4 linked regions of the Arabidopsis thaliana genome follow. The protein of the gene in region 3 interacts with the protein of the main gene of each other region in a biochemical or structural test. Each region holds a gene or a part of one and is shown on either strand. Other genes may lie near its edges. The genes, in order: BHLH32, TTG2, TTG1 and GEM.

The links.
Region 1: the proteins of TTG1 (region 3) and BHLH32 form a complex in vitro, tested with the Arabidopsis thaliana proteins (one study listed by BioGRID).
Region 2: the proteins of TTG1 (region 3) and TTG2 form a complex in vitro, tested with the Arabidopsis thaliana proteins (one study listed by BioGRID).
Region 4: the proteins of TTG1 (region 3) and GEM form a complex in vitro, tested with the Arabidopsis thaliana proteins (one study listed by BioGRID).

The regions. Positions count from the first base shown.
Region 1 is NC_003074.8:9,365,831-9,373,663, reverse strand, and holds BHLH32 (basic helix-loop-helix 32), read right to left. Parts: upstream 4,166-7,833; 5' UTR 4,067-4,165; coding exon 3,578-4,066; intron 3,114-3,577; coding exon 2,568-3,113; 3' UTR 2,177-2,567; downstream 1-2,176. Other genes in the region: AT3G25716 (uncharacterized protein), read left to right, coding at 251-445. UniProt on the Arabidopsis thaliana protein: Transcription factor required for MONOPTEROS-dependent root initiation in embryo. Transcriptionally controlled by MONOPTEROS.
Region 2 is NC_003071.7:15,641,866-15,649,965, forward strand, and holds TTG2 (WRKY family transcription factor family protein), read left to right. Parts: upstream 1-2,945; 5' UTR 2,946-3,219; intron 3,220-3,403; 5' UTR 3,404-3,411; coding exon 3,412-3,624; intron 3,625-3,625; exon of another isoform or gene 3,626-3,710; coding exon 3,711-3,836; intron 3,837-3,902; coding exon 3,903-4,543; intron 4,544-4,617; coding exon 4,618-4,927; 3' UTR 4,928-5,211; downstream 5,212-8,100. Other genes in the region: ADK (adenosine kinase), read left to right, coding at 126-422, 730-870, 951-1,223, 1,310-1,453; RPS5B (ribosomal protein 5B), read right to left, coding at 6,018-6,072, 6,167-6,370, 6,469-6,740, 7,085-7,177. UniProt on the Arabidopsis thaliana protein: Transcription factor. Interacts specifically with the W box (5'-(T)TGAC[CT]-3'), a frequently occurring elicitor-responsive cis-acting element. Regulates trichome development, production of mucilage and tannin in seed coats, and maybe root hair development.
Region 3 is NC_003076.8:8,368,277-8,376,505, reverse strand, and holds TTG1 (Transducin/WD40 repeat-like superfamily protein), read left to right. Parts: upstream 1-3,658; 5' UTR 3,659-3,772; coding exon 3,773-4,798; 3' UTR 4,799-4,799; intron 4,800-5,325; exon of another isoform or gene 5,326-5,374; intron 5,375-5,499; 3' UTR 5,500-6,189; downstream 6,190-8,229. Other genes in the region: AT5G24510 (60S acidic ribosomal protein family), read left to right, coding at 6,640-6,708, 6,868-7,080, 7,158-7,211; AT5G24500 (fantom protein), read left to right, coding at 7,791-8,229.
Region 4 is NC_003071.7:9,537,786-9,547,207, forward strand, and holds GEM (GRAM domain family protein), read left to right. Parts: upstream 1-3,342; 5' UTR 3,343-3,737; coding exon 3,738-4,074; intron 4,075-4,174; coding exon 4,175-4,276; intron 4,277-6,149; coding exon 6,150-6,421; coding exon of another isoform or gene 6,422-6,457; exon of another isoform or gene 6,458-6,804; coding exon 6,805-6,993; 3' UTR 6,994-7,253; downstream 7,254-9,422. Other genes in the region: AGP2 (arabinogalactan protein 2), read right to left, coding at 615-1,010; PFK5 (phosphofructokinase 5), read left to right, coding at 7,885-8,210, 8,289-8,376, 8,448-8,521, 8,604-8,715, 8,819-8,914, 9,002-9,103, 9,183-9,257, 9,378-9,422.

The sequences.
Region 1 (7,833 bases), on a different chromosome or scaffold from region 3:
ATATACATATATTGTTATATGAATGATAAAGTTACATAGCTTAGACTATACATATTAGACTGATAAAATCTTTTCATCTATAATAAAGAAACTGTATGGTAGAAAGTATTATCCCGATACATCATAACTATAATTGCAATTGTCACTATAGAATCTAAGTTCGGTTCTCTTGTTGTTTTGTACATCCATCTATGTGCAGTGAGAAAAAAATCTGTCTGCAGTAAGAAAATCTTGACGCACAAAGTTATTGATGAGGAAGAGACAAAAGAAGTTGAAAGGTCAAAAAGACAAGAGGATAGGCTCGATCACGTGCGGCGGGCCAACACGGCGGTCCTACCACCGTCGCCGTCGTGACCGGAACCATCGTCCTCTTCTCTTGTCACTTTCTCACCTCTGGGTCCAAATTTTATTTGTTGATGTTCACATCATGGAGTTTCCGATTTAATGGTTTATTTTACATTACCCAATTGAACTAAACATTCCCACGTAACATTTGTGAACTATATCTTATTTCCATTTTTAGTCTTGTTTCAAGAACTCAATAGCTTTCAAGATTCAATGATTCCATAACTTTTACACTAGTCATAAAATTTATTGGAGTCGCGATTTCTGTTATTTATTTCGGGAGGCTAATGCAAATCTTTATAAGAAAAAAATTAAGTTATGTTCCATAAATGATTCTGCTATTTCATTTTTCACACCAGTATATTTGTTTCGCATGGTCATGTGTTTATAAACCAAGTTCATTGTTCGGAATTATGTTCATAATTCTTATGGTGTCTGTCTCCAACTAATCACAAATTCCAACTAGCTAAAGTGTTTTTGGTCTGCATGTAGATGTAGTCTTCGGTCTCATGCAATGTTTCAGATATTATTATTATACATATGTTTAAAAAAGATTCAACATTATTGGTCCACATACTTGTATGTTCACTTCCTTGTACTTCAACACTTGGTGGACTTCTCTCCAGGTGCATTCATATTTGTGTTCTTCTAATCTGTAACATAGCACATGATTTTATTTTCTCAACGTATTATATAATAGATATGTTTATACTCTATAGACATCAAAAGAAAATTTCTTACTTAATGTCAACTGTTATAAGACAATTATCGTCAATCTGTTTGATTATCTTATATTTCTAAACCTCACAAGTTCATATACTATGTCTATATTACATCTATTAATATCTAAAACGAGAATTACAATCAGATTGGCCTATTAGCTCAGTTGGTTAGAGCGTCGTGCTAATAACGCGAAGGTCACAGGTTCGATCCCTGTATAGGCCATTTTTATATTTTTTCTTTATTGGGCCTCAACATCAGCCCATGGGTCAAAATGATATCATCACCCACCGGCTATACACTCTTCAAAAGCACATATCGAATCTCTTGGGCCAAAATTGGGTCTAGAAAACTTGGCCTTTTAACTCGTAATTCTTAATTGTAAAGTCTTTTCTTTATTTTTTGTCATTTTTTTTTCTTTCATATTCCTGTTACATTATTAAATATTGCCGATATTTTACCATTTATATATTTTTTGTTGAAATTTTTTCCTCAGTGGATTAAATTTCCGACTGTTGGACCGGAATACAGAATTTGTCTAAAGCTGTCTAAGTAATAAGACTCAAGAAAACACCAAATTAATAAGCCCATTTTTTTGGTTCTACGTTGAATTTTGGACTAAAGGAAAAACCAGTAGATACAAAATGACGAGATCATGACGTAATGTGCTTGTGGTATCAACCGTCTCTGTAATATTGTAATAAATAACGTAAGTCAGTAACGGCGAAAGAGACAATATTATCAGAGATCCCAAAACTAAGTTTCTATAAATAGAACTAAGATCTAAGTTTTCACTTCTCACGAAAAAGATTCGATCTACTACTACTCTCGATTTCACTTGATATAACTTACACAAATCTTCCGTCACATAACTCTCTACATCAATCTAATTTAAGAAATATCACATTAATTATATATCGGATGTGAAGAAAAAATTGTGGTTTTAAAAAATATGTAGAAACTGAGGAAATAAATTATAGAGTAAGTACGACATAGACTATTTCTCCCATGCACATTTAAAAACTGATTTCGACATAATCGTTGTAGTTTGTCAGAAAAAATAACAATGGATATGCGTAAGAGATTTCTTTATGTCATTTCTCTTATATCAGTCACAATAGAAAATAAATTGACAAGTATAAAACTATACTCTATACTATTACTACGTAGTGTTGTTGCTTATAAACAAAAGATTAAATAGTTGCAGAGTTCATGAATATGATAAATAAAACTTCTTGATAAATTAATACAAACCCAAGCTCTATACATTTCCTATATTAATTAAGACGATAAAATGTCTTAACTACCATATATAAACCAAACTCATCACTATAAAACCCTAAACAAAGGGTTCTTCATAGATTAAAAAAACATAGAAGAAGAAACCCAATCCCAACTACTAAAAACACCGAAAATAATACTAATATCACCAACCCATAATCAAATCCCATTTTGCAAGTCTAATTAACTAACCCTAGTTAATAAAGACTTGACTTAATTAACTAATTATAACATCGATTCACCATCTTACTAGTCCTTTGCCTCTTAATACCCCCTGAAGATGATTTCTCCAAGTTATTGTTATCGTTACTTTCATCATTATTATGAACACACTTCTCTATAACCGCCTTTAACGCTTCTTCTATCGAACTCACACGATTATTCATCATCCTCTCTTCATCATAATCCTCCACGTCATCACCATCGAAGTTTCTACGATATGAATCATGATCTTCTTCATCATCGTATTCTCGGCTCAAGAACAAGATGTTCTTGACTCTACCACCTACGGTTGCGATCTCAGCTTTGAGAGTTCGAAGACGAAGAGACTTTAAGGCATTGATGACGTCATGCATGAGGTCAGTCCTGTCTTGGCAGCAAAAGGATGCTCTTATCACCAAGTTTCCTTCCTCGTCGTTGTAAGACGAATCTACGGTCAGATCATCGCACTCTGTTGGGACTTGATACGTGTCGGTGATCTGTGATGTTTGTCGTTTTAGCTCCTTCATGTGTTGGATCACTTCCGCTAGCAAAGAAGCTTTGTCCGTCTATACAAAACCAAAACGAATCATAAGTATTTAATCTTCTTATTCTTCTTCTTCAATAATAATAACTAGTACAAAAATACCCCATCTGTGGACTATAATTACTTACCAAAAATATCGATTTGATACATTTATTTTAAATTTGAAAATTTACAACTACTAAACGATAATAGTTGAACAGAGATAGATAAAAATGATAATATTGAAAAATATAGTACTTATCATTTTTGAAACTGAATAATTAGTACTATATTTATCAGAAAAAGAACAATTACTACTACTCTCTTTATTAAAAAACAACAACAATTACTACTACTCTAACCAATAATAACTAAATAAAGAGAAATTTTGAAGGATCATTAATTAATTAAAACTATTTTTCCATAGGGTTTTCAAAATAGTGAATTAGTTTCTGAAATATCAAACCATAATGAAAGGAGAAGAGTGTTTATTTATAAACGACTTACTTTGGTTGTGTTTGGTAATATACTACGCAGCTTAGCAAGATGAGTGTTGATTCTCTCTCGTCTTCTTCTCTCAGCTTCACTATGACTCTTTGAAGCAGCTAAAGCCTTAGCATCCATGACTTCTTGTGCACTCAATTTTCCCATGATCTCACCATCGAACCCAAAGGACGAGCCACGACGCATGATGGGTCCAAGAGCTTCGGATAAAATCCTTAGATGGTTCTGAGGATGATCCATGGAAGGAGGAGGAGAGACAAAACCGTCGTTATAGTCAAAAGAAGAAGAGGAAGAAGAAGCTCTTCTGTTGAAGTAGTGAACCGGGTCAGAATAACGGGTCGGGTTAGATGGGAAATGGAGTGGGTCAAAAGAAGGTAAAGATGTCGACGACCAGGGGAGAATTTGTGGATGATGATGAAGATGAAACTGGTCTTGATAGTCTTGTAAGTTGTGAAATGTTTGAAGACAGTCTTCTTCTTTCATTGCGTACATTTTTTGGTTTTTTTGGTTTTTTAGTTTTTGGGAGAAAGAGAATTTTAGAGAAGAAGAGACAAAAGGTCACAAACATCCCATTTGATAATGCATACACATGTGTATATATAGTGCTATATAATGTGTCCTTAATTTTTAAACAAAATTTATTTGATATTTTAATATTAAAGAATTCTTTCCAAAAAACCTTTTTCACCGGGTTATACAATCAGACCGCCATTATCTTTGATCACATCAAGGAGAATTGTGAGAAATAACGTATGAACTTAGTTCCATATAAAATGGCAGAATAGTATAGTGATTACGCAAAAAATATTATGTAACCTGAATTTATTTTCAACTATAATGTACCGTTAATGGATTTTTGATGTATTGCTGTATTCCAAATTTTTTAATTAAAAGTTAGTGGTTTTTCCTGTTTAATAAAAAAATCTATCATTTTCTTTGATTAAAATGTTATATATTACAGGTTTTTATGGGACCACTCTTTTTTTTTTTCTGGTATATCTAACAAAACAAATGAAACTGCAAGTGCTGCACATCTTCTTTGCTTTTCTTTTACGACTTCTAAATGGGGAGCTGTCATCATCTTGTGGATTTCTCTGATGGATTTGGCTTCCTATGAATATTATTATTTATTTATGTTCTTAAGAATTGATTTCATGTTAATGAATAGAAGATTTTTGTGCCTTTTCTACTTAAGTTAATCGTATTTAGGATAAAGTTCATGCGATTTGTAAATGAGGAATACCACGCCACCACTATATCAAAATATTATTTAGCAAAAAAAATACTAATTCAAAATATTTCGATATGCATGGTTATATATTAATCGTAACAGTTGATAATATATACAGTTATTTTCGTATATATTAAGATCTGTGAAATGCGATCAAGAATAATATGCAATAGTAGAAAATCATGATTTTAGCAAGATGATTCTGGTCAGCACCTAATTCATAGGCAAAAATAATAGTTGACAAAGTTATTTCATTTGAAACTTTTAGAAGTTAGAATGGTCAAATAGACACAATCATGTATACTTATTTATTTTTTTGGCATTTGACATGATCAGGGACCCAAAAGATATTGTCTAAGAACTCTATTTAAGAAAAGAAAAAAAAGTCTCAGATGCTAACTGTGAAAATAAAAGATGATGTCCAAAATTGTAACTAAGGTGTTTTTCTTCATCAAAACAAAGTTTTTTTTTATCTTGGGTTAAACCTAATCTAAGATTGTAAGCAAATCAAGAGCATTTCGTCTGCCTAATTTCTATAAGTATAATAAGAAATTTTCGAGTTTATACCACGACTCTACAATTCTACAAAGAAGAGAAGACTAAAGTAGATTTAATTTATATAATCAAACACTCCTACACAATTTGACATGCATTTAAAGGGGAAGAAGAAAGAGGTCATGATTATTGTTTTTTCATCAGGTTCTGAAACAACGCGTTAAAAGAATTTCATTTGGCTGCTTAATGTTTTTGTTTTTTCAGTGGAAAGCATAATAATACTCGAAAATTAACCAAAAGAATAAAAAACAAACACTGACCACAGGACACACGGATTGTCGACCGACCAGAGACCAAAAAGACTTTTACTTTTAATCATTAATAATCCCACTCGTTTCGTATAGCCAAACCCACTTTCTTGTTTTTCTTTCCTTCTTTAATCTAGTTTTTAATCTAATCAAGATTTTCTATGTTATAGATTTGTCTCAAGTGCACCGAAGAGATTCTCTCTTTTATTTAATCTATTCATACATATCCAACGGATAAATTTTGATTATGATCTGAATATATCTTCGAGTGTGTTAGCTTAATTGTCTCATACTAAAGAAGATTCAAATCCTAAAATAATTAGTGAAAATTCTCAAACCTAACTCAAGTTTACCATCCGCCAGTTTATCAAGTAGATGTGCATATAATCATTTTTAAAGAAAAAAAGAGTTAAAAAGACTTATGAAAAAGAGGTAAAAAGACTTATATCATTATATATATAATGAAAAGGAGTGGAAAAACTAAATAGTAGGATACTAAAATGCTACCGGATTCGAGTACTATTTTTGTGAAAGATGAACTATTTTTGTGAAACTGTCACATGTTTTATCAAAAACTGATTTTACATATAATGATCTATAGATCCGAAAATTCTTCATTAAATATATACTTCCATATGAATGGTGATAAATAATAGAAGAAATGAGAAAATTTTGAGTATAAATTATAGGATAGGGTATGAACTAGGGTTTTGGGGTGGTGGTGCAGAGTGAAGCCCACACGACGTTCAACATTCTGGGCTCTTTCTCCACGCTGTCTTCTTCTTTTTCCTTCTCCAAGAATTCTAAATCATTTTGTCTTTGAATTTACTTCTCTTCTTGTTTGTTTCCAATAATACTTCTATATTATCAGTACTTGATTGATTTATATACATGATTCTTTTCTGTTTTTTCTTGTTGAAACTTGAAACAAACCTCGCTATAATTCTTCTCTCGAAAACTTTTTACACAGGTCCTAATGAAAAGACATTTGAACAATCGAATTTACATCTCATATATACTATGTATTTTGCTGAGATTTGTTCAATTGAGCTACTTCAATCTACTTATGAATTTTAGTATCTTTAGTTATAATTAATCATGAATTAAACTCAGAAACCTTTTAATATTTATAAAAATGTATATTCATGCGTTTATAAATGTATAAATATTTGTATGTGAAGGTTTACTATTTTTGATTTGCTATGTTTGAGTTAAAAAGCATATTTATCAGTAATGTTTTAATATAATTGACTCCACCATGTTTTAACTAATCCATTATATATTTTTTTTGTATAAAAGCAGATCACATATTGATATAGACGTTATAAAATATTTTTCCGACCCTTAAATTGTGAAAATCACTCAACTAAGGACTTGATCATAGATTTTTTTCCATGAGTATTCATGCTTTGATTGATTTTTTAAAAATAGTATTAATTAATTAAAATACAAGATGCATGAATATTGCTCCGTTTAATACACCAATAAAAACATGATGTATTAAAACAAATTGTTCGATTGAAGTACTATTTAAACTATACAGCGTACTAGATTTAACTAACTTACCTAGAAGACTTAACTAAATTTTAATACTAGTATTTACGAAAAGAATGAACATTGCATCAAAATCAAGTATACGAAAGGTATATATATCATGAAGCCATATTTTATACACTGAAAAAGTGATAAACATCATATCAAAAGCAGCAATAATAATACTAGTTTCTAATGACTATGGACATAACCTGATAATGTTTCACGGTATCCAATACTATATAACAAAAATACATTTTTCAATATATTATATTAATATTGTCACGAGACCATACCCTTTAGCGAGTATGTGCTTAACTGTTGGTCCATAAAATGTAATAATTTTATGGTGAAGAATCATATGATAGGAAACCATTGTTGGAAGAAACCTATAATCATTACCTTTAAAATAAAGTCAGTGTTCATGTTCAAAAGGCCTTTGAAAAAGCTAAAATCATTTTCATCTTGACAAGCATGGCTCATTTAAAACCAAATCAGTTCGTTACTTTGGCTGTAACTAAAAAAAAAAAAACTAGTGTGGTAAAAAAATTTGTATAACAAAATAAATCAGCGAAATTGAATGAAACTTATATGGAGAAATTATTGAGAAACAATTACGAAGTGAAATGTACTCTTATATAAGTTGAAAACATTGTAATTTGTACCCCAACTAAATTTAATTTTTTACAAAA
Region 2 (8,100 bases), on a different chromosome or scaffold from region 3:
CCACGTCAGTTAACTTTAGGGCAAAATGGGAAAAGAATCTAAAGAGCATATGTTCGTGCACGTTCTTGTTTAGGGTAAGCTCAAAGCTCAAGCCGCTTCTATCTCTCTACATTTCTCTTTCTGCAATGGCGAGATTAGTGCGTGTGGCTAGATCCTCCTCCCTCTTTGGCTTTGGTAACCGTTTCTACTCTACTTCAGCCGAAGCTAGCCACGCGTCGTCGCCTTCGCCGTTTCTTCACGGCGGCGGAGCTAGCAGGGTTGCTCCGAAAGATAGAAATGTTCAGTGGGTGTTTTTGGGATGTCCTGGTGTTGGAAAAGGAACTTACGCTAGTAGACTATCAACCCTTCTCGGCGTTCCTCACATCGCCACCGGCGATCTCGTCCGTGAAGAGCTTGCATCTTCTGGACCTCTCTCTCAAAAGGTGCGACCTTTTTTTTTCTTTCCCATTTTCTGTTACTGTGATTCTGATGGAGATTCTCTTCTTTGTTCGATTTTGGATCCATATAGTCTGAAATTGAATGTTTAGCTAATCGGACTTTCATTATTGGATCTGAAAATTTCCGTCTATCTCTCGATAGATCTAGTGAGCTAAGTCCATTTGAAAGTGTTTCTAACTACATTTGATCAGTATCATAACAGATCTATTCATATATATTAAAGTCAATGGCTTTGTTTTGTTTGTTATCTGTATGCATAATTGTTAAACAATCTCTTGTTACTTGATGCAGCTATCGGAGATTGTAAATCAGGGAAAATTGGTTTCTGATGAGATCATTGTAGACTTATTGTCCAAAAGACTTGAGGCTGGTGAAGCTAGAGGTGAATCAGGGTTTATCCTTGATGGCTTTCCTCGTACCATGAGACAAGCTGTAAGTATTATTCGTTTTAAGCAATTTTTGATAATCAATCTCCATTATCATTTCTAACAGTGGATTGTCTTTTGGTTCAGGAAATACTGGGAGATGTAACTGACATCGATTTGGTGGTGAATTTGAAGCTTCCTGAGGAAGTTTTGGTTGACAAATGCCTTGGAAGGAGAACATGTAGTCAATGTGGCAAGGGTTTTAATGTAGCTCACATCAACTTAAAGGGTGAGAATGGAAGACCTGGAATTAGTATGGATCCACTTCTCCCTCCACATCAATGTATGTCAAAGCTTGTCACTCGAGCTGATGATACTGAAGAGGTGGTGAAAGCAAGGCTTCGTATATACAATGAAACGGTAAGCCCCTCTATTGTCCTTTTCCATTGCTAGTTTATGAACGATCAGGTGTTAATTAGTGCCTTTTTGTATTTTTCTATATGCAGAGCCAGCCTCTTGAAGAATACTACCGTACCAAGGGAAAGCTTATGGAGTTTGACTTACCTGGAGGCATCCCAGAGTCATGGCCAAGGCTATTGGAAGCTTTAAGGCTTGACGATTACGAGGAGAAACAGTCTGTCGCAGCATAAGTTCACTATCAAATCCCGGTATTTAAAATTCTTTGCATGTGGAATACATATGCGTAATCAATTTTGTGTTGGAAATAAAAGTAAAAAGAAAACCTTAGATTGTTTTTCACCTCAATAGAAATAATCATACACACTTGCGCAAACTATTATTTTTCCACCAGCCGGGGATTTTGGCTCCATGAGAGAAATATGATGTATCATGATTGTTTGAGATTGCTAGTGACATTACAGGAATGTATCAATACTTCTACACCACTTGTTATGCATTGAGTTTAATCGTTATGCTCTTGTGATATGTTTTTTTTGGAAAATGTGATGAATGATGATATTGCGGCTGGCCGAGCTGGCTGGTTAAAGAACTCAACCAGACAGTAAAGTAAAACAGCCGCATAGATTAAACGGGAACTTATAACCAGCTCTTGACTGTCCTAGCATTGGCGGTGCGGGATAGAATCGTTCCTTACATCATGGAATTGATGCTCTCATTATCGGTCATTGTGTATTACTTGCTCTGTTATTTGTTGTGATCAAAACCTAGCTTCTGTTTTACGTTTGCCGTCTCTGAATTTTTTTTTGGTTTTTAACTCTCCCTACGTGAGTATGGATGGTAAATACAGATTCAATTTGAAATGCTGAACGGGACTTGGCTCATAGCAATCTAAATCACAGTGACAAACGTGTACTTCGATTGCCTTTGTGATGGTCAATCAAAGCTGTAATGTTGTTGGTTTTTGACGCTAACCGGAACTAAACTCCTTTCACTGAGAGGTCTCGATGAGAGAAATCATTGTCATGAACGAAATAATTTAAAACATGATTTAAGATTACAGAAAATGCCTAACGCAAAATTATTGACGAATCACAAGGCAAGGAAGAAGTAGAGAGGAGAGTTGATAAGAAAAGAGAAATCTTCATAGAAACTAAAACTGTGTACAAGTGTTTATATACATTGATTAAGCTTCAACAATCTTCTTAATTAACCACATTGATTAGCTTCAACAATCTTCTTAACTAACCTAACATATTAGTTAGACAATTAATAATGTCAACTCCAATATTTGTTGAAACTCCAATATTGTTATAAATTGCAAGCTAACAAAGTAACAATTGATAGGTTTAATAAATATTTTCGTCAAATGATCATTGGGTAGTGGTATTTAATAATATTTTATTAACTCATGTAGTGAAAAGTATTGGACAAGATGACTGAATTTTCTTCGTCTCTTATCTAACAGAGGTGTAACCGAAATAAACCGAATTCAATTTGGTTGGGTTGAGTTAAAATAAAATAAGTTGGTACAGTTCAGTTCACGTGTTTACTTCGAACAGAACAGGCTCGTGCGCGTGTCAACAACCAATAAGTTCTTTTGGTCGCTGTAGTCTTCAACTAAAACCAAACGACACCGTTCCTTGTGGCCGCGTTTTCCAACTAACTTTCAACTTCAACTAACGTTCAACGAGTGTCCATCTCCTCTATCTCTCTTTTTCCTTTTCATTGGCTTCTTCATCACTATAGAGACTAAAACTGACCTTGATCCATCCAACGTTCCCTATACTGACACGTGTATCCATCACAGTGTCGGCTAAAGCTCAAGGAACTCATACCAAGAAATACATCATCATCTCTCAATAATCACAAACCGGATCCGGATCAATTTGGATCCATCAGATTTTCTTCGTTCCCTAACTCCTAAAAAGGAGAGATTCTTCAAATCCTTATCACAACTTCAGTTTTTGCATTCACCGTCGTGAGTGTTCTACTTTTGGTAATGATTCACTAGTCAAGTTTCTTTCTTTATGCTATAACTTGCAACTAGATCTTGTACTAATGGAATTGATGTTTCTCCAATCATCTTCTTTGATTTTGCTCCATCTTTCTTTTCCTAATTTGGAAAAATGAGTCTTTACCTATAGAATCTGATAAATATGTCTCTTACATAATTGATTAAGGTCAAGTAATGGAGGTGAATGATGGTGAAAGAGTGGTAATAGCAAAACCAGTTGCCTCAAGACCTTCTTCAAGTTCTGGCTTCAGGACATTCACTGAGCTTCTTACTGATTCAGTTACCGTATCTCCGCAAACGACTTGCCACGAGATTGTAGACGCTGCTATAAGACCAAAGACTTTGAGATTCAATCAGCCAGTAGCAGCTTCGGTCTCATGTCCACGGGTATCGAGTTGTCTATTTAATTCTTCGCATTGTTATCTTCTTTCCGCATCCTCTAGTCTTGACTCAACTATTTCTGATAATGATAGGCTGAAGTAAAAGGTATTGGAAATGGAATGTCTTGTGATGATGATTCAGATAGCAGAAACTACGTCGTTTATAAACCGAAAGCAAAGCTTGTCTCCAAAGCAACCGTCTCTGCATTGGCTAATATGGTAAGTTGATTTTAAAGCTAACAAGGTCACTGACTTTCGAATGTTGTTTAATTCTGTTTTCTTTAGCTTCAGGGGAATCGTCAACAAACTTGGAGACAAAGCGAAGCAGTATCCTATGGGAAGAGTGTGAGCCAAGGTACACATCGAGCAGGTCCTAATCTAGTCCAGAAAGTTCCATCTTTTACGGAATCAGAGACATCTACTGGGGATAGATCTTCTGTGGATGGATACAACTGGAGGAAATACGGACAGAAGCAAGTTAAAGGAAGTGAGTGTCCAAGGAGTTATTACAAATGCACACACCCGAAATGTCCGGTGAAGAAGAAAGTAGAGAGATCAGTGGAAGGTCAAGTTTCAGAGATTGTGTATCAAGGTGAACATAATCACTCAAAGCCATCTTGTCCTCTTCCACGGCGTGCTTCATCATCAATCTCTTCAGGGTTTCAAAAACCACCAAAATCGATTGCTTCTGAAGGATCAATGGGACAAGACCCTAACAATAATCTCTATTCTCCTCTATGGAACAATCAAAGCAATGACTCTACTCAAAACAGAACAGAGAAGATGAGTGAAGGTTGTGTTATTACACCATTTGAGTTTGCTGTTCCAAGATCGACAAATTCAAATCCCGGAACTTCAGATTCCGGTTGCAAGAGTAGCCAATGTGATGAAGGAGAGCTTGATGATCCAAGCAGAAGCAAAAGAAGGTAAGATTGTTTCAAACTCTTAACTTCTGCAATTTTGTTTACATTGCTTGTATTGACTTTGTGTTTGATAACAGGAAGAACGAGAAGCAATCTAGTGAAGCAGGAGTATCGCAAGGCTCAGTGGAATCAGACAGTCTTGAAGATGGATTCAGGTGGAGAAAGTATGGACAAAAAGTGGTAGGAGGCAATGCGTATCCAAGAAGTTATTACAGATGCACAAGTGCTAATTGCAGAGCAAGGAAACATGTTGAACGAGCGAGTGATGATCCAAGAGCTTTCATTACAACCTACGAGGGTAAACATAATCATCATTTGCTCTTGAGCCCTCCATCTTCCTCTACTCTTCCCTTTAACTCCCCACAACTTTCTAAGCAAACAATTTGATTTGATGATCCATTCATGCTTTTTCTTTTTTCTTTTTCTTTTTTTGTTAAGAATGAGAAAAAAGAAGAAGCAAATGGTAAATACAATCACCATTTGCTCTTCACTCACAACTTCCTAAGCAAAAGCCATTTGATCAATTCATGCCTGTTTCTTCAATCTTTATACCACATTAGTTAATTAATCGTGTGAATTTATTTGTTTTTACATTAAGATTGTAAGGACAAGAAGATTGATGTTATTTTAACAAATCCAAATAAAAACGTGTGTTATATTTTTTAGGGGTAACTTTCTTCAATATGTTTAGTTTATCGAACTTGAGAAATTTGACTTCATGGGACCATTTCTTTTCTGTTCACGTTGCTAAACATAATGCAATTTCCATCGGTGTAACTCAATTACATTGGTGGTCTATCGAAATCCTCTAGATCTCAGTAACCACGTTGGTATTGTACTACCTTTCCAAGGAACATAAGATAAACTCATAAGCTTAATGAGTTATCTATCCGATACTTGTTTACATTTTCGCGGCGTGAGTCGAAGGGAGAAAGAATCACATGTCAAGATCACGCCTTGTATATCTTGTCCGTAGGATTGAAAGGCGGGTCATGTCTCGGAATTGAGAAGCCCTTAACCACCCGACTTGAGCCATGTGGGCATATACACATGATTTGCCATCCAGAAATGCTACTTACGGTATGGACACCATTGAGCCCAAATGCCTTTAAATGCAATGTACATGGTGCTTGGAAGACTGACAGGGAAATTAGAGGCATTGGTTGTGTCCTTAGAGACTCAAAATAGATTGTTTGAGTTATCTGAAATTTTTCATGGCTCCATCTACATCTTTTATCTTGGAGTAGCAGCAAATTGGAAACCATATAACTACCATGATTTATAGCACTTTAAACTGAAAAATATATAGATGAAATAATTTTAAATATGAAACCGTTTGATGATCAAGATCCCAAGTCGATTATAAGCGTCAAAATTTCATTAAAGATAGAGAGATCATCTGAAACATATCCAAAGCTAATGGAAACAACACAAAAACTCTTTGATATAATGCAAACTTAGAGGAAAGGGAGATCCCTTAACGATTGGCCTTAGCAACTCTCTCAATCTCATCTTTCTTCTTGATGGCATAGCTGCAAGACAAGAGAAGATGCTATTATTAGCTTAACTAACTAACAATAAAGTGAAGCCATCAAGAGACAGACTATGTAGATAGAGTGTTCTTACCTGTTGGAAGATCCCTTTGCAGCATTGATGAGTTCATCAGCAAGGCACTCAGCGATTGTCTTGATGTTTCTAAAGGCAGCTTCACGTGCACCAGTTGTAAGCAAGAAGATCGCTTGGTTCACACGTCTTAGAGGAGAGATATCAACAGCCTGCCTCCTAACCACACCAGCAGATCCAATCCTGGTAGCATCTTCACGTGGACCACTAATTCACATAAAGAACAAACCTTCTTAATTAGATTCAGTTCATAGTAACAAGCACGCAAGAATTTTACAGGTTTCAGTATAGCAATCTTAATATACCTGTTAACAATGGCATCAATGATAACTTGAATCGGGTTCAAGTCAGACAAGAGGTGGATAATCTCCATGGCATGCTTGACGATCCTGACAGCCATCAACTTCTTACCATTGTTTCTTCCGTGCATCATGAGAGAGTTAGTGAGCCTCTCAACAATTGGGCACTGCGCCTTTCTGAACCTCTTCACAGAGTATCGTCCAGCAGTATGGGGAACAAAAGTTGCGTGCTTCGATGGCTGAACACCAATGTAGTCCACAAGACTAATATCCGTAACCTACATAACACCAATATGCAGATCAAAAACAAATATTAGCACACCAATCATATAAAACACAAAAAATACATGACCTTTAGTGTCAAATTAGTGTTATAATCAAAACAAACACAACATGGGTTTCAGTGAAGACGGACAAAGATTATAATAGCTAAGATCTAGTAAGTGACTAAGTGAGGACTATAATTTGATATAATTCACACAATAAAGCTAATGTAACTACTCATATCAATATAAACCAATCATTTCAATGTCTATCATACAGCTAAATAAGAATTAGATCCTAGACAATTCTCAAGTGTCTAAAGAGATATTCTAAGAGAAGGGATTGGTGAGGAATATACCGAAACGTCATCAAAGCTCCAACGGTTGAAGAGCTTAACCTCATTGGTAAGCTGCTGTTGAATCTCAGCGTCGATTTCTGCGGAGGCGGCCATGACTGGAGGATCAATAGAAGATTAGTAAAAACCCGTAAATAGGAAATTAGAAAATGAAAAAACAGGAATCAGAGAATGGACCTGAAACTCTATAAGTGTCGAGAGAAGTAGGGATCTTTAGCCGCGGCTTGAAGAAGAAGAAGAGAAGGAAGCTCAAGCAATGAAGAATAAACCCTAAAAATGAGTGTTAGTAATGTTCTGTTTATAAAATGGGTTTTATTGGGCTTATGTTGGGCTTTTGTGTTTTGTTTTAGTTTAGTTTCTCTCCGAATTGGACACAGTTTGGCTATTGGGTTGTATTTATGTTGAGAGACTGACTAGATTAGGTTTTATCTTTTCTTGGCAATAGTTGAAGATACGGTTTTATCTTTTGTCTACATAAATCATCATACGTTGCATCGAACAAAGTTCTCAAAATGCTTACCAACTTGATTTACAAGTGACATTTTATTATTCTTAAGAACATGAAGAATACATTCTTCTTTGTAATGATGACCATACAGTCATCTTTTTTCTTTTCTGTCTCAACCATCCATCATACTTTATTAGTACTAATTTATATTACTATTATATGAAAAGAAAAACACGCATCAATTAAGCCCTAAATATCGGCTTTGACGTGCGTCGTAGTGACTTTAATTATTACAAGGAGCATATTAGCGACTAGCGACTATCCAAAGTATGAGCTTCAGAACTAACTTTTTATTACAAAATACATAATTATCGTTTATGATTTCAATGTGTAAACTGTGATATGAATCTTTTTAATATTTGATAAAATAAAAGAAAAGTCGCAGAGTGGGAAGGATATAATAATTTTTTTCATTTTTATTTCTTACTGCACGTGGGAATTAAGAAACTACACAAGTTTTCCAACTTATTAAGCTATTAGTCAACTTCTTAAAAATATAAGTCTTACTTTA
Region 3 (8,229 bases):
CTTCAGACTCAGACAGAGTCAATCTTGATAAGTACGTACACTCATGTGACTCTTGTGCCGTGTCTCACACTTCTAATTAATATCTTGTTTGATTTTTTTCCTTTTTTAAATCAAAATTTTAACTATCAAACTAGTTAGAATTTTTTTTCGGACACTACTTGAATTAGATTTGTTTTTTCGGACAATACTTGCATTTACCTCTAAGAATAAACTCTTACTTTTAATTTAAACTAGTTATTATATCATATTATATAATAAACTAAAATAACAAATCTGTATACTTTTAATTAAACAAGATTAATTATATTTAAAATTTAGATTTTACAATTAAACAAAATTATAAGTCAGTTTAGATTTATAAATATAAATTAGAGTTTAAATTTACAATAAAACGAAATTATTTTTAGGTTTGGGTTTATAAATAAGTCACTAGAGTTTAGATTTAAAATTAAACAAAATTATATATCGGTTTGAGTTTAAAAAAGTGTTTAGGGTTATAGATTTAAAGAAAGTAGATGTTAGTTTGGATTTATAGAAAAATGTTTAGGATTTATATTTGACATTTAAACAAATTATATGTTAATTTGGATTTATTAAAATTAGGTTTAGATTTTACAATTAAATAAAATTATATCTTGGTTTAAGTTTATGAAAGAATGATTAGGATTTAGAATTTATAATTAAATATATATGTCGGCTTGGGTTTGTAGAGATTTTGTTTCTATAATTTGTTTTATTTTATTTTTATTTTAGTTTTGATTTATTTTAAATATAGTATGATATGTCATATTGTTTATTATTATTATTTAATTAAAAAGGGGTAAATAAAAGAGGTTCACCTCTAGGAGTGAACCCAATATATAAATTTTTTTCTGTCCAAATGTCAGTCTATTATATCCAAAAGATTTTAAATATTTGTTTATCAATATTACAAATTATCACATGATCTTTTTCATGTTTTGTTTTTATTCATACATATCCAAGAGACTTTAAATATTTGTTTATCAATATTACAAATTATCACATAATATATTCGTGTTTTGCTTTTATTCATATGATTCCAAAAATCACTTATTAAAAGCTATTCATTTTAAAATTGTTCCAACCTAAAAATCTTTATTTTTAAAGTCTTTTCAGAATATTAGACCAAAAATATAAATACATTTTAATAATATATATGACCAAATTAATTATTTAAAACTCTTCCAGATGCATCATTATATTTTAAAAATCGAGATGTTACATATGTGTTAAACTTTCTTTTTTGTCTTCTTATGTGATATCAAATTTTATGATCTTATCGATTTTAATCAGGTATATCTTGGTATAGCCTTAGATTTCATAATCGCATATAAAAATCATAAATTATGTAGAAACTAGTTATAATCAAATAATATTTATTTCATATGGTATACCAAAATTAAGTATTCAATTGCTACGTGGATATTAATAATTTGAATTCGGTAACATACTCTTTTTCTTTTTGTTAAACCAAAGAATCTCAAACAAAAGTTTTTGATCATAGTTACTAAATCATTTTTGGTGAATAACCGAGAGAATGTCTCCCGACTTCTATTAAAAAACAAAAATAACAATTACACAATCACTCGTCTTGAACAAACAGGTCTAGAAACATCATCCCGTAAGATTTCATCCGCACACCGGAGAACATAAACAAGAGCATAAAAGCTTAAAGACAAGCATAGTTTGTTAACATGTCCGTAAAATGATTAGCCTCTCTATATGTGAAACACGGTCAATCTAGTTTTTCGATAAAAAACTATAGCGCAAACGTACTGGAAATGATAGCAGATGAGAGTCCCATAACCTTGTCTTCAAAATCTCAACCACCATTTACCACAAATATGGGGATGAAAACAGGCAAACGGTCTCATACGTTGTAAATAAGCATTCTTAATGTCAAGTTGGTAGATAGGCCATAAAATAAGCATCCTTATGTTTAGCGCATAGCCTCCACACCATTCACCCTCCTCATTACGTATCAGACCACCACCAGCCGCGAGTCTCGAATTGCCATAAAATACCCCATCAGTATTTAATTTAAACCAGCCCATAGACGAGATAAGCCATTTTATCAGCTTCTCAACCCGACCAGCCCTTTGTGTTGCCTTTCCGCTACTAGCTCTCGCCTCCAATACCTCCTTAGCTAACTCTCTTATGAACCGCACCCTATTCTTCCATACTTTATTCTCCCCAAAAACTAGCTAATTGAATTACCAACATTTGATCAAGATAATATACTAGGTAGCTAATTAATGAGCTCATTTTTTTTTGTCGTCAATGGGCTAATTTATTAATTACAGTATGAACTATTGACTATTATTCTAAATAAGTGAATATCACGAGTATGTACGAATTATTGGATGTATCTATTTGTATTGATTGATGTAATATCAAATAGTATGAATTTGGAGTAAACGTGGGTTTGGGGTTGAAGCAGGTAGGGCATGTCAAAGTAGGGCGTCTTTCGTTATGTCCCTTTCCTCTAAATTTGAACCTCTGTCATTGTACAGAAAAATCGTAATAACCCATAAATGTGTTTTAAAAAACATTATTTCGAGTTTTCTACACATATTCTAGTCATGTTTAATTTGAATCTTTTCTTATTTAAGTAAGCTTTAGACATTTTTAACCTAAGTTTTCTTCTCCCTTCATAAATTTTGAGATCTATATAATGTTCTTACATTTTGGATCAAGATCTTCATATTCTCATTCCAATTAGTAAAAGATTTTTTCACCTTTTAATCTCTTATCTTTTATTTATATTCTTTAGTTATGTTTATGCTTTTCATCATATTTAGTGGTTAGTTTTTATTATTTATTTATTGATTCATGACTTATGCTAGATTATGATAAGAATTTATGTTACCACTTGATAAATCCTCCATTTGACATGTGTTTAATGCTAGATTTATATTGTCTCCAAATTTACAACTTCGATGTCTTATGATAAATGCCAACAACCAAATTTCAGATAAAGATTAGCAGACTAACTAAGCTTATTATTCACTTGCAAGGTGGAGTGATGTTGAAAGAACCCTCACAGACACGTCATTGGGAAGACTAAATCTCTTTTTAGCACGTTACACCTTTGAGATCGCGTTTATTCCATATGGAGAGAGAGCAACAATACGAGACATGGAGAGGCACCATTACCGCCGGCGCAACTGCTTCCAAATATTGACAAACAAATTTGAATCTGGATCTTCTCTATTCGTGAACAAGGAGATAGAAGCTACGATGAATGCATGGAAGCTTGGTTTGCTTTAATATAAACACTAAAGGGGAGTAGAACTTTCTTGAAAAATTGTATGCAAATTATTTACCGAATGTTAAAAGCTTTTTTCGAATAAATTTTACATTTTCTTAATAATAATAATAAAAAAGGATTGTTGATTATCTTAATCACAAACAATTTATTTTAGCTGAATTAGACAATTGTTAGTAAAATGATTAGAGTGTCACATATTAATGTTGTTAGTGTTTCATGTCATCCTAGTGATCCAATAATTAGGCCATTCTATAGCTCTTAACGTTAAAATAAAAGGCCCATTATCTGAATATACAGAAGCCCATTATCAATAGATACATTAAAAGATACTGATTAATCCAGAGGGTTTATATCTACGCCGTCTCCATTGATTATTTCTCCGTCTCTTGAAAAATCCGACTGACACTGACCTCAAAACTCTCCTCTCACTTTCGTCGTGAAGAAGCCAAATCTCGAATCGAATCAGCACCACACATTTCCATGGATAATTCAGCTCCAGATTCGTTATCCAGATCGGAAACCGCCGTCACATACGACTCACCATATCCACTCTACGCCATGGCTTTCTCTTCTCTCCGCTCATCCTCCGGTCACAGAATCGCCGTCGGAAGCTTCCTCGAAGATTACAACAACCGCATCGACATTCTCTCTTTCGATTCCGATTCAATGACCGTTAAGCCTCTCCCGAATCTCTCCTTCGAGCATCCTTATCCTCCAACAAAGCTAATGTTCAGTCCTCCTTCTCTCCGTCGTCCTTCCTCCGGAGATCTCCTCGCTTCCTCCGGCGATTTCCTCCGTCTTTGGGAAATTAACGAAGATTCATCAACCGTCGAGCCAATCTCGGTTCTCAACAACAGCAAAACGAGCGAGTTTTGTGCGCCGTTGACTTCCTTCGATTGGAACGATGTAGAGCCGAAACGTCTCGGAACTTGTAGTATTGATACGACGTGTACGATTTGGGATATTGAGAAGTCTGTTGTTGAGACTCAGCTTATAGCTCATGATAAAGAGGTTCATGACATTGCTTGGGGAGAAGCTAGGGTTTTCGCATCAGTCTCTGCTGATGGATCCGTTAGGATCTTTGATTTACGTGATAAGGAACATTCTACAATCATTTACGAGAGTCCTCAGCCTGATACGCCTTTGTTAAGACTTGCTTGGAACAAACAAGATCTTAGATATATGGCTACGATTTTGATGGATTCTAATAAGGTTGTGATTCTCGATATTCGTTCGCCGACTATGCCTGTTGCTGAGCTTGAAAGACATCAGGCTAGTGTGAATGCTATAGCTTGGGCGCCTCAGAGCTGTAAACATATTTGTTCTGGTGGTGATGATACACAGGCTCTTATTTGGGAGCTTCCTACTGTTGCTGGACCCAATGGGATTGATCCGATGTCGGTTTATTCGGCTGGTTCGGAGATTAATCAGTTGCAGTGGTCTTCTTCGCAGCCTGATTGGATTGGTATTGCTTTTGCTAACAAAATGCAGCTCCTTAGAGTTTGAGGTGAGAGTTTCTGTTTCGCTACATAATTCTCATTTGCTAGGCCTAGATTCTAATGAGGAAGCATTGATTATTGGTTTAGATTGTGTTGCATTACAGATAGTCTTCTAGGTTTGGTAACTAAACGTTTTTTCGATTCTTGATAACAAAGCCACTAGAGATTTGACACTAACTCGTTTTAGATTTACCTGAATCAATATCTCTGTTAAAATCAATTACTTTGTTATGCATACATAAATCACAGTTTAGTAGTCATATATATTGGCTCTTATTAGCGACAGGTCTCACACTTGCTGTAATGGCTGATAGTGTAGTAGTCATATGTTGGCTTTCATCTAAGTTGATGTATCATATGATGAATAGTTGTACACTCGTCAGGTTCTAATTTTTACCCATAATTCTTCAGTCTATTTTTTTTTGAGACAATCTATTCTTAATTTAACGAAGCCACTAGCTACGTATACAAATATTGTTAATTTAACGAAGTATCTGAGAATTGTTTACTGCTGACTGTGCTGTATGCCCTCAGAAACATATAGAAGTGGAATTGGAAACTTCATGCTGGTTTGAACATCTTTGTATGTGTGCTTCAGGTTTTTGTAACTCATTTAGACAACAGCATTGCATATATACACGCACATATGCAACCTAGAAAATCAAATAACCTTTCCTTATAATTACTATACATTTCACTTGATGTCAGGTGCAGATGTGAAGTGATCAATAAGGATTTTAGCATAGACCCGTATAATCGTCATGTGCGTAAGTAGGTTTGGTTTGCGCTCCCTCTCGCTTTTAGGTCCGCAATGACTCTGTATCTATCTGATTGTAACTAAAACTGAATTCATTTGATGAACCAAATGATACTATTATCTTATGTTGTGTATAAAACCCAACCAGGATATATTGCGGTTTCTGGTGTTTAGATTTGGTAATTGGAGCTTAGTACAATGCAACCCTGTCTTGCTTTATTGGACGTCTCTAAGATAAATCAGCTTGCAATGAATTCCAATGGAGTTTGTCAGTTTGAATTAACTTCTTTGCATAATTAACACAAAGATTTGCAGTATAAATTCCATTGGAAGACTTATTTGTTTATTTGACACAGATTTAAATTGAATTTCAATGGAGTTTCAGTCGACTATGTGACACAAAGATTTGAAATGAACTCCAATGGGAATTTGGTGAGTAAATTATTATAAACAATCCAATGTTTGACACAAATATTTTAGAATCTTCACATCTGAAGTCTTATAAATCGTAGCAAAATTTTCAATCTTGAAAATTATAAAAAATGAGAATTAATTTAAATCACTGATCCGATAATCTCCTCTAGAAATATAAGAATCTATAAACCATTAATAGTAGAATTCCAAAATGTTATAAATCTATATACTATAAATGAAAATTTTACTTTTTAACTTTTGTCTCCATAATATCATACCATACTTAAAATTTTATTTATTTTATTCTAATAATCACAATGTGTTTCTTTGTATATAAATAGAGTTTTTCTAATGGTTTGAGAAGTGATTTGGAAAACATGGATACTCATATTTTTTTCAATTTATAAGATGATCAAAATAGAAAATTTAGCTTATGAAATCTTTTAGATTTAGGAACAAATGTATACTCTAAAATGTAACTATTTGACATGTGTCAAAATGTTTTTAAATTTGTTGTGATCTTGTTACAATTAAGATCAAGCTACTTGTCAGATTTTATGTGATGGGTTAAATTTTACAAAATTCTAGCCCAAATATAAAATACCTACGTCCTCAAAACTTAAAATGCAAGCGATAATAATACAACTTAGAGTACAAAGAGGTTAAAGGTAGATAGAATGTCGACCAGTGAGCTCGCCTGCACTTATGCTGCTCTCATCCTCCACGATGATGGAATCGAGATCACCGTTAGTTTTCTTCTCTTCTCTCTTTCTTCAAATTTGTTTTCTAGCTATTGAGACACTGTTTAGCCTATGTTTTAGTCTCTAGAATCGTCATCTCTCTTTTCTTGCCTTGTGGTTTCAAACTGATCTCACTTAAGTGTTGTAATAATGTAAAATTATTAGGCTGAGAACATATCAAAACTGGTGAAAACAGCCAACGTGAATGTCGAGTCATACTGGCCTAGCCTCTTTGCTAAGCTATGTGAGAAGAAGAACATCGACGATCTCATCATGAATGTAGGAGCCGGTGGTTGTGGTGTGGCTCGTCCAGTTACCACTGCTGCTCCTACCGCTTCTCAATCAGTCTCTATTCCCGAGGAGAAGAAGAATGAGATGGTATTTATTATCACATTATTAATTACAACAAACTACTAAATCAAATACTAAATGGTATAATTGTTTTATAATCTTAGGAGGTGATCAAAGAAGAGAGTGAAGATGACATGATAATCGGATTATTTGACTAGAAGAGCTTCTTTTTCTTTGCTTCCAAATTTTATGAATTTTGCCTCATATGAATATTTTGATTATTTACAATTTATTTGATTGTTTATGAGAGACAACAAAAATAAATCAAATCTATTATTGGCTATTGTTTAATAAATATATACAACAACAAAAATATGGGGGAATTTCTTTTTCAATGTTTTTTTTTTTTTTGTCATCCGAAAATTAATTAGGACTCAAACGAGCCAATCCTGAGGAATGTTGTTTACAAATATAATATGAAGCGGTTGGGTACGAACTTTTCGTGCCAAAAAATCCGCTTTAACATTAGTACTACGAGAGATTAAAGATAGAGAAAAATCCGCTTTTCAATGTTTTTTGGTTTTAGTATTTTTGGATTTATAAAAACAAAACCATATGAAGACGTATTTATTGTTACCAAAAAAAAAAATGATAATAAGAAGACGACGCGTAGTTGAACTCAGGATTTTCATTTGTAGTTTTCCTGTAATCCAAACGGCGCACTGTTTTTAAATTCACAGCAGAGAGAAAAAAAACAAAACAAAGACGAGCCAAGATTTGTATCTTCGTCGTCTCCGATGCTAAGCTCCATCATCGACGACAAACCTGCCTCCTCCACTTGGCTCAACCGCCTCCGATTAAACAGAGGCCTCACAACCGACGATGACGATGCTTCTGGCAATCCACTTACTCTCGACGACTTTCTCCGCCGCAACCACCACACGGAAATCGCCGCCACTAGTTCCGCTTCCGATTCACCTCCATCTGCTCCAATTCCTTCAGATCCAGAATTAGCTGAAAGTCCATCGGAGGAGCCAGTTCCTGGAGAATGGTACGGCGTGATGAGCGATGTTCTCTTCGAGCTATTCAATTTCAGCGGCTCCTCTAAATCTTCCACAATTCCCGGGAAGAAGAAGTTACCAAGGAAACAATCAAACCCTAGGCATTGCTCTTTAGAGACTCCTGAAGACGTTGTTGTTCCGTTGGTAAATCAGAAAAGCGACGACGCTAATTGTC
Region 4 (9,422 bases), on a different chromosome or scaffold from region 3:
CTAATTCTATAGTTTTTTTTTTTCTGCTACTTGTTTATCTTATAGTTCTGTCAAAATTTAATGATATAAATGTTTCACATTTTACCAAAAAAACATTAATACGGAATGAAAGATGTGCGAGTCCTCTTTTTAAGCCCACTAGAATATAATGGGCTATTTACTAACGAGCTTGTGTTGGTTGACGAACATGAGCAAGCCTCTACATGAGCAAGACAATATCAGTTCAATATATGGGCCAACGACAATTTAGGCATCCCGTATATTAAAGATGAGGATTTAACCCAAATCCTAGTTTTAAAGGTTGGATCGACTTAGTTTCGGACATGTTACTTGGAAGGGCCTGGCATGGTTACAACGACCCATCTACGCTCTTAAAATTTGTTATTGAAAAACACATAACAAAGCGAAAGTACATATAAAAGAATTATTTTGATTTATATAAAAGAATAGATATTACACCATATTGTCTCTATGTTCATCTCATCCCCAACAACAACAAGTGTCCACGTCAAAATGATAATAGTAGTAAATAACAAATATGAACGAGAAGAAGTAATTAAAATAAAACAGTAATAGAAAGCAGAGGATCCAAATCCACCAAACTCAAAAGCTCTCTAAGCCAAAACGACAGCGTATAAAGCTCCGGCAACAGCTGTTCCCACAAGGAAAGCTTTGTTAGCCCATGCGGCACTTGGTGCATCAGCAGCACCGTCTGGTCCTGGAGCTGGAGACGAAGTTGGAGTTAATCCAGCGGAAGGACCGGGAGCAGGAGCATCGGTCTGAGGAGGAGAAGCAACCGGGGATGTTGTTGGAGAAGTGGTAGGAGCTGGAGTTGGCTCGTTAACTGGAACAGGCGGTGAAGCAATTGGTGAAGGTGTTTCTGCTGTCACTGGAGGAAGCGCCGTTGGTGGAGGAGTAACGGTGGTTGGTGCTGGTGCAGGAGCTTGAGCGAGACATGAAGTGGCCAAGAAACCAAGAAAGATCAAAGCTTGCATTGCCTTAGAATTCATTTTTAGATTATCTCTTCTTTGTCTGAATCTTGAAACTCTCTCTGTTTAATGTTATAAACTCTTCTTTATTTTTGTTGATGGTGTAGAACAATGAGAGAAGAGAGCTCTATATATACGCGATGGTTGGGAAATAGTTAATAATTAATTATTGGTGTGACACTAATCATGCGAACCACATACAAAAATACAACATGGCTTAGCTTTTCAATGGCGGTTTAAAATAATTGTTGTCTTTTTTCTTTCTTAAACTTGACGTGTTTGAGTTTTTGAAGTTTTCTTGAAGAATCATCTACATGAAGGAGCACCAAACGGATACACAGATCTCTGCCACGTGTTTTCTCTTAACGATGTTAATTCTGAGATCAGTTAAGTATTGACACGTGTTATGTTTATATTGGTTTTTAGATATGATTTGACTCTGCGTAATTTGCTTTTTGGTTAACCGCGTTACAATGCCAGGCGTAAATTAACTTGAGTTTTGCCTAATGTTTCGTGGAAATAACGCGTTTACGAGTAAATAATTAACATTATACGAAAAATGGGTCATTATTTAAGTTCATATTCATATATAGTATGTCTATCAAAATTTTCAACTGTTAATTATTTTAGATGTATATTATAATCGTTTCTGTTGAAAAAAGTTATTTTATATGTTTCGTTGTAATGTGTTATCTGGACTGATTATACGAGCAAGGGCTGGCAAAAGCTGTCATATTTTCATGTTAATTAAATTAATAAATTAGTAGATCATTATAGTTATATTTATGGTTTTTATTTTGTTGCAATATTCTAGTGACAGATTACTTGGTGGCCATTATTGTTACAAACTTACAACGAAACAGTCAAGCAAACGCGCATTGTTCATATTCTACAGCTATATCATTATTACGGTGTGAAATGCTTCATTTCAATAAGAACCTACCTAACAATTATTTATATTCCTTGAATAATAAATTGTTAGACTCTTGCTTTGACCTTAATATGCATTGTATCAGTATCTTCTTCATAAGAAAATTATAAGTTGAAAACTTTTTTCCTGCCAGCTTTGACCAAATGAATATATTAAAAAGTTACCAATAAAGAAATTTTAATTAATTTGATTAGTAGTACAAGTTTGGACGAGGCCTTGGCAGGCCTCTCTTTCTAGCTTTTCGTGGATGTGGCCTAACCTCGTAACTTTTCGTATTTTATCAAGCCCAAAGTAGCTTTCCGTTATCACTTATATGAAAAAATCTAAGATCTAAGGGGAGTTATTGATTAGTATTTTAATTTATAATCTATATACATTAAAGAAAATAGAACATCTTGAAACCTCTAAATAAATACACCGTGCTTAAAAAACTTCACGAGATATTCAATTGATTTTTTTTTGTTTAGAATATTAAATAATCAATACTCCATTAGATGTCATTTACCCAAAAAAAAAAAAAAAAAACTCCATTAGATGTTATTATTGTAGATTGTACCAATAAACTCTGATATATAAGTCCAACAAAACTCCATTAGCAGTAGTGTTGGTAAGCTCCCCATATTCTTGGGCTTTAGTTTCAGAAGATTTCATGTTATCCGTCGGCTTAGTTTATGGAATTATCTTGTTAATCGCCACTTTTATATAATTTCATATATAATCTATCTTTTAGTGCAAAAAAAGTAAAAAAAATAATTTCAACGAAACTCAAGTTTGGAACCGCAATCCAATTATTTTAATCAAATCATTGACTACCGAAATATTTTTCCACCTTCAAACAATCTAAAAAGAAAAATAATTTTTTTGATCAATTCACCAACGTTATTTAGTTTATAAAACATGATAAAAGATCCTCCAAAAATATAAAACCTAGACTTTCCTTAAATTTTAAGAAGTGTACTTTTGTTCACTCAATTTATTATTTCTCTGCCAAATTCTCTATATTCTTCACACGTAATTACTATCTAGTTCTCGTCCATTTCCTTTATCATTTTCTCATTGTCTTGTAAATTGACCACTCTAATGATCTCTATTATTTCCTCTAGAATAGAGTATGATTTATCTCCAATCTATCACTCTATATATAGAGTAATCCTACAATTTTCTCTATTTTAAAGTAACATATAGAATGAGGATGGAGAGAATGTACTATATCATAGAGTTTTAGAGGACAAAATTAAAGTGGGATTGGAGATGCTAAGTATGTAAATTTGGTTCGGTTAGCTATCATAAGGGACCGAGTGCTATATGACAATGTATTATAGGTAAAAGAAGTGATATTGTCTCCTGTAGATTTAGTGTCCTTAACCGTTCATCAAATCTATGTGAATCTCAGTAGTAGGTAGTTGGGTGAAGAACGTGTGAAGTCTATACAACTCATATTACTCCTCAAACATTTTCTGATAATATATTGCATACATTGAACCTCTTTTTAAATTCAAAACATCAAAGGTATTGATCTTACATAGAAAAAAACATAGACTCTTATGTTCATGTCCCTATTGATCTTAGTCATACCTCATAATTGTCTAACAAAGAAAATCAAAGGTATCATAATTATCATCATATGTAATGTAGGGAACAAATCTGTATTTACTGGTATATATATATAACACAAAAAAAATTACCAAAGAAAAAAAAAGAGCAAAGGGAACGATACCATTAGTCCCAATACCAATCCTTGCAAAATTCAAACTCAAACAAACCGTTTATCTCACGCGCCGCCGTACTCGCCACGATCCGTCTTTGGAGACCAATTTATGGAGCCGCCGAAGGGAGATACCGTAGTGAAGACTGAGGTCCCGGTGAAGGATCCATCGCTAAGCGTCGTCGATTCGAAAACGAAGGGAGTCGAGGATGCGAACACTGAGATAGCCTTGTCCGATGAGGTTGAAATCGAGACGAAGGGAAGCGATTCGACACCGGTGAAAGCTCCGAGTCGAACATCGTCTGGATCGAAGAAATCTGTACATTGGAGCCCCGAATTGGTGTCTGGATCTCAGGAACCGGATCAGAAAGCTGCATCGTCTTCTTCGGCTGGATCTAATCCGTATATTGCTCGTTCTCCAGCTGAGACTTCAGATGCTTCGTTGAAAGGTAAGAGTGTTGTGATCGTAGCGGTGAGAATTGAGATTGTGTATTGTAGCCTTATTTACCTTTTTGTGGATCTCTCTCTGTGTCTGTGAATTGGATTCAGATACGATGGAGACTGTGAAAGGAGTGCTTGGTAGATGGGGAAAGAGGGTTGCAGAAGCAGCAAAGAAGACGGAGAGCCTTGCCGGGAACACATGGCAACACCGTAAGTTTTCGTTTTTTTTTAATATCAATTTGTAATCAAATTCAATGCTTAGAGTTCTGTGGAATCAAGAATTGTTCATAGGGTATTGTTAAAAGTAGCTTGTTCTACTCAAAGTCTACATTTTTTTAGAGAAACATAAAAGATTTTTTTTGCTGTATTATGGTTTTCTTCCTTTGTTGTATGTTGGTGTTTAGGTTAGTACTGGTTTTAGGATTGAGTAACTATCATCATATTCGATAGTGCTCAAGTGTATTTTTATGATCTTCAATTCTTTGATCTCTTTTCAACATGTTGTTGCTATAAAATGGGACGTTCTTACTGGCTTGTGTTGATAAATTTTCTTAATTACAAACAGAACACTCCCCTGAATTTCAGTCTTTAGGCAGTACATTAAAAGACAATGACCTTTGATCTTGTTGAGTTCTTGCTAAGAATAGTAAACGGACTATTTTAGTTATGGAATCATATTGTGTTGGAAGAAATATCTCGGTTTTTCTCAGGTTTATCTTCATAAATAGTTTAGAATCACAATTGTTCTACGTGGATCTCTTGCCTTCGATTTGTCTCCAGAACCAAGATTAATACCACATCTGCTCGGTATTAGAGGATGATCTTTTGATATTGTCAAGTTTGTGATCACAGTAATTAAAAAATCTCTGTCTTGGATTTGAACAAGAAGATTCTCCCAGTTTCAGTCTGTCAAACTTTGTAGCTTGACCCATGACAAGTGTTTATAAGAGAGTCGGAATAACCTTAAAGCTGTTTTTTCTCTGTGTGATGTTTGCAGTCAAGTTTTTAGTAGATTGTCTGGTAACAAATAAAATATCAGATTGAAATTAGGTGCTCTGGATTAGGTATTAGTTGCCATGTTACTTCTTTGGAACTTGGAATTTTAATGCCTTTGGTGAACATTAATCAAAAACGCCATTTGACGAATTAAGAGCTGGATATTAGTTTGACCTTCGGACATGGTCATTCGTGATGTAGTCTAAGTAGTAGGGAATTAGCTCCTAGTTTTGAGATCAAAAAGCCTTTTTGCGGACTGAAGAATTACCACTCTAATCAAGTGATGTTCTTGGTGGTTTGGTGAATGTTTGAGCAATGGAGGTGGAGGGAAAATGTCTGATGACTAGCTAAAACTATAGAAATTGGGGAATTAAGAAAGTTTACACGATTAAATTTATGTTTAGAGTGTTCATGTGTGAACTCTATAACTCATGTCTTCCTTGATTGGGTGTGTTTTAGTTGTCCGCTTCTCTAGCATATTCTATTCAGGATTCGTTTGAGTGATCTCTCTTACAATCTTCTACTTTAGTCAGTGAGAACTGCTCCAGTTTTTTTGTATTTCATATCATGTTTGAATCGATCTTCTATGTTTAGCATTGTTGGAATGGATGTTTGCGCTCAAATATAGTAGATCTTTTGTTAAAGAAGTGAAATATTGAATAGATGCTCCGGAACAGATAGAGTTGCTATATTGCTTTTAGGAACTTGGATTAGATAATACATTTGGATGAACATTAAAAAAAAAAGAAGAAACAGCCTTTGGTGAGTTAGGAGCTAGAACTGTGGATATGAGTTTCAGCTTGGGACATGGTCGTGTTATGGATAGAGATGAGTTCCTGGGTAAGTGTTTGAGTAATGGAGTTTGAGGGAAAATGTCTAATGCCTGCATTTACATAGTATGGACGTAAAGTTTGAATTTGGGTGACTGAGAAAAATAACATGATTCAATATACGTTTCAATTGTTTGTGTGTGAACTCGCAATTCATCTCTTCCTTGATTGGATGTGCTTTACTTGTTTGATTCGCTAGCATTTTCATTCAAGATCTATCTGATTGATATATCTTATAATCTTCTCTTTTTAATCAGTGAGAACTGCTCCGAGTTTTGCGGATGCTGCAATGGGAAGAATTGCACAGAGTACAAAGGTCTTTGCAGAAGGAGGATATGAGAAGATATTCCGACAAACCTTTGAGACAGATCCCGAAGAACAGTTGCTAAATTCTTTTGCATGTTACTTGTCAACATCAGCTGGCCCAGTTATGGGAGTTCTATATATATCCAGTGCCAAACTTGCTTACTGTAGTGACAACCCTCTCTCCTATAAAAACGGTGATCAAACCGAATGGAGCTATTACAAGGTAATGTGTCCTACACCTTTCATTTCAGAATTATAGCCATTTTGAAGACACCATATTATTACTTTTGTGATCATTAACTGTTCGAAATCTGTTGGCTGGTTATCTGGTCAATGCTTGAGACAATGTTTCGTTATAATTTGTTAGTAGCATCAACTAAGGAGCCTTCGTAGAGTGATTCATTTGGATAGAAAAATAATCTGGACTTGTTAACGGAATCATAAATCCATGGACTTTTTTTTTGTGATAGTAATAACATGATTGCATCAGCTTCTCATCTCTTGTTTCATCGAAACCAATCCGATACGATTGCATTTGCTTATTCATTGTAATAAGCTTTGCTACATTGATGATTGATGAACACTTTGTGTCTTCTTCTTAAATAGGTAGTAATTCCATTACATCAACTTAAAGCAGTGAATCCATCAGCGAGCATAGTCAATCCTGCAGAGAAGTACATACAGGTGATTTCGGTAGACAATCATGAGTTTTGGTTCATGGGTTTTTTAAACTACGACGGCGCTGTCACGTCTCTGCAAGATTCTTTGCAAGCCGGTGCTTTAAGGTCGGTGTGATACATAACTGGATGACTGATGACCATAAAAGCATGTTGATCTCCACCTCTTCTTGCTTAGTCATATCAGAAGACTCAAATTTTTACATTATTTTGCATTTAATCTCAATATCCTATTTACTACAGAAACTAGCTGAATTTTACAAATTTACTTTAAAATGTTTTATCTTTTGATATTTTTATGAGAAGACAGCTTAATTGCAATTTATTCAATAGCAGTTGCTTTTAGTTTCTATGTTGAAGAACTCTGAGGTAGTAGGATCAACAAATGTGAATTCAACACGTCCCAGGGACAACGGACTATTAGAACCGATTCAAATTGCTTCCACCAGTGACAACTGAAAAATATACCGAACCAGTAGATCTAAGAAACGAAATTTACTCGCACCCATGTACGAAATTGCCGCACAACTTTTGATATTTACTAATTTGCCCCAATAAAGTTCAAAATACACAACTCCTTTGACTTCTGCAAAGCATCAGCTCGAAAAGTATTTTTTTTTTTGTGTTAAAGGGTTTATCAGCTCGAAAAGTATTTCATTATCTTTTCATCGAATCAGATTCAACTTACGAATTATAAGAGCATCTGATTAGGATTTATTCCAAAGATCACTAACTAAATTCGAAATTTATTCACAGAAGTTCTAGTCACTAATTTTGTTGAAGACGATTTTTACATATTTAGAGGCGTGATAAATATTACAGACAAAAAATGAAGTTAGATTTTGTTTCGTACTTCTTCGTTAATCTAAAGAGCCAAAGTACTGTGATCTAACACTGTCGTTGTGTTTTTTTTGTTTTGTAAATTTGGCAAAAACTCCCTCCAAAAAAAAACTTAGTTGACTGAGAAAACTAAGCAAAAAGATCTCCGATCGGAATCTTCTTATTCGCCATGGATGCTCTTTCTCAGGCGATCAGTTCCGGGATCTCCGTTCCTTACAAGAACAATTCTTCTTCTCTCGTTCCTTCTCACGGACTCACCTCCTTAATCCTCCGGAAATCGAGATCTCCGGTGAATCCCTCATCACGATCTCGCGTCTCGGTGCGAGCTTCGGAGATTCAACACAGCAAAACCTCAGCTTCATCGATCGATCTCAGCGATCCAGATTGGAAATTAAAGTATGAGAAAGATTTCGAGCAACGATTCAGCATACCTCACATCACTGATGTCTTACCTGATGCTGAAGCCATTCGTTCAACGTTTTGTCTTAAGATGAGGTCAGATCACTACTTTAGCTTGAGGTACCAGATTCTGGGTTTTGGAAAATCTATTAAATTGGAGTTTTGATAATTTAGGTCTCCGACGGAAGATTTTGTTGGTGGTTACCCTTCTGATGAAGAATGGCATGGATACATTAATAACAATGATAGAGTTCTTCTCAAGGTTTAACTTCAGATTTTTATTTTTATTTTACTGAACTTTGTAAGATTGATTTGGCTTGTTTTGGAAATTAGGTTATTAGTTACTCCTCACCTACTTCTGCTGGAGCTGAGTGCCTTGATCATGACTGTTCTTGGGTTGAACAATGGTAAACATTTGGACTTTCTTTGAGTTTGGATTTGTGGTTCTTTTTTGGTTTTTGGTTATAATTGGTGTGATGGGATCTTTAGGATTCACCGTGCTGGTCCGAGGGAGAAGATATACTTCAGGCCGGAAGAAGTGAAAGCTGCGATTATCACTTGTGGTGGCCTTTGCCCTGGTCTCAATGATGTCATCAGACATGTGAGTTTGTATCTGAAACTTTGGCATTATAGAAACAGTGTGTGTGTGTGTGTGAAGTCCTACTAAAGACCTTTGATTGTTGTGTTGTATGGATACATTGCAGATTGTCATTACTCTTGAGATTTATGGTGTTAAGAACATTGTGGGGATTCCTTTCGGTTATCGAGGCTTCTCTGATAAAGATCTAACTGAAATGCCGGTATTGTTCGATTGTGCTCTTTCGAGAAAAAGGAACCCGAATCTCTGTTTCTGTTTTGGCTTATGGTTTGCTTTTTTGTGCTTTCAGTTATCAAGGAAAGTGGTTCAGAATATTCATTTATCTGGAGGAAGTTTGCTTGGAGTTTCACGTGGAGGCCCGAGTGTGAGTGAAATTGTCGACAGCATGGAGGTATCATTTAGTTTTTTTCAGTCCTTAAGGAACTTTATGAGATCACAGATTCTGAATTCTGAAAATTGAATTTACTTAGGAGAGAGGAATCAACATGCTTTTCGTGCTCGGTGGAAACGGAACTCATGCTGGCGCCAACGCTATACACAATGAGGTTCGTTACTTAACACTTGAAACTAACTAAGTGTAGTTCGTGTGAAGATATTTTTTCTTTTTCTTTTTCTTTAGTTTGTCTAGTTTGATTTACCATTCACATTCTTGCTTTCAATTCTAGTGCCGCAAAAGAAAGATAAAGGTAGCTGTAGTTGGTGTGCCAAAA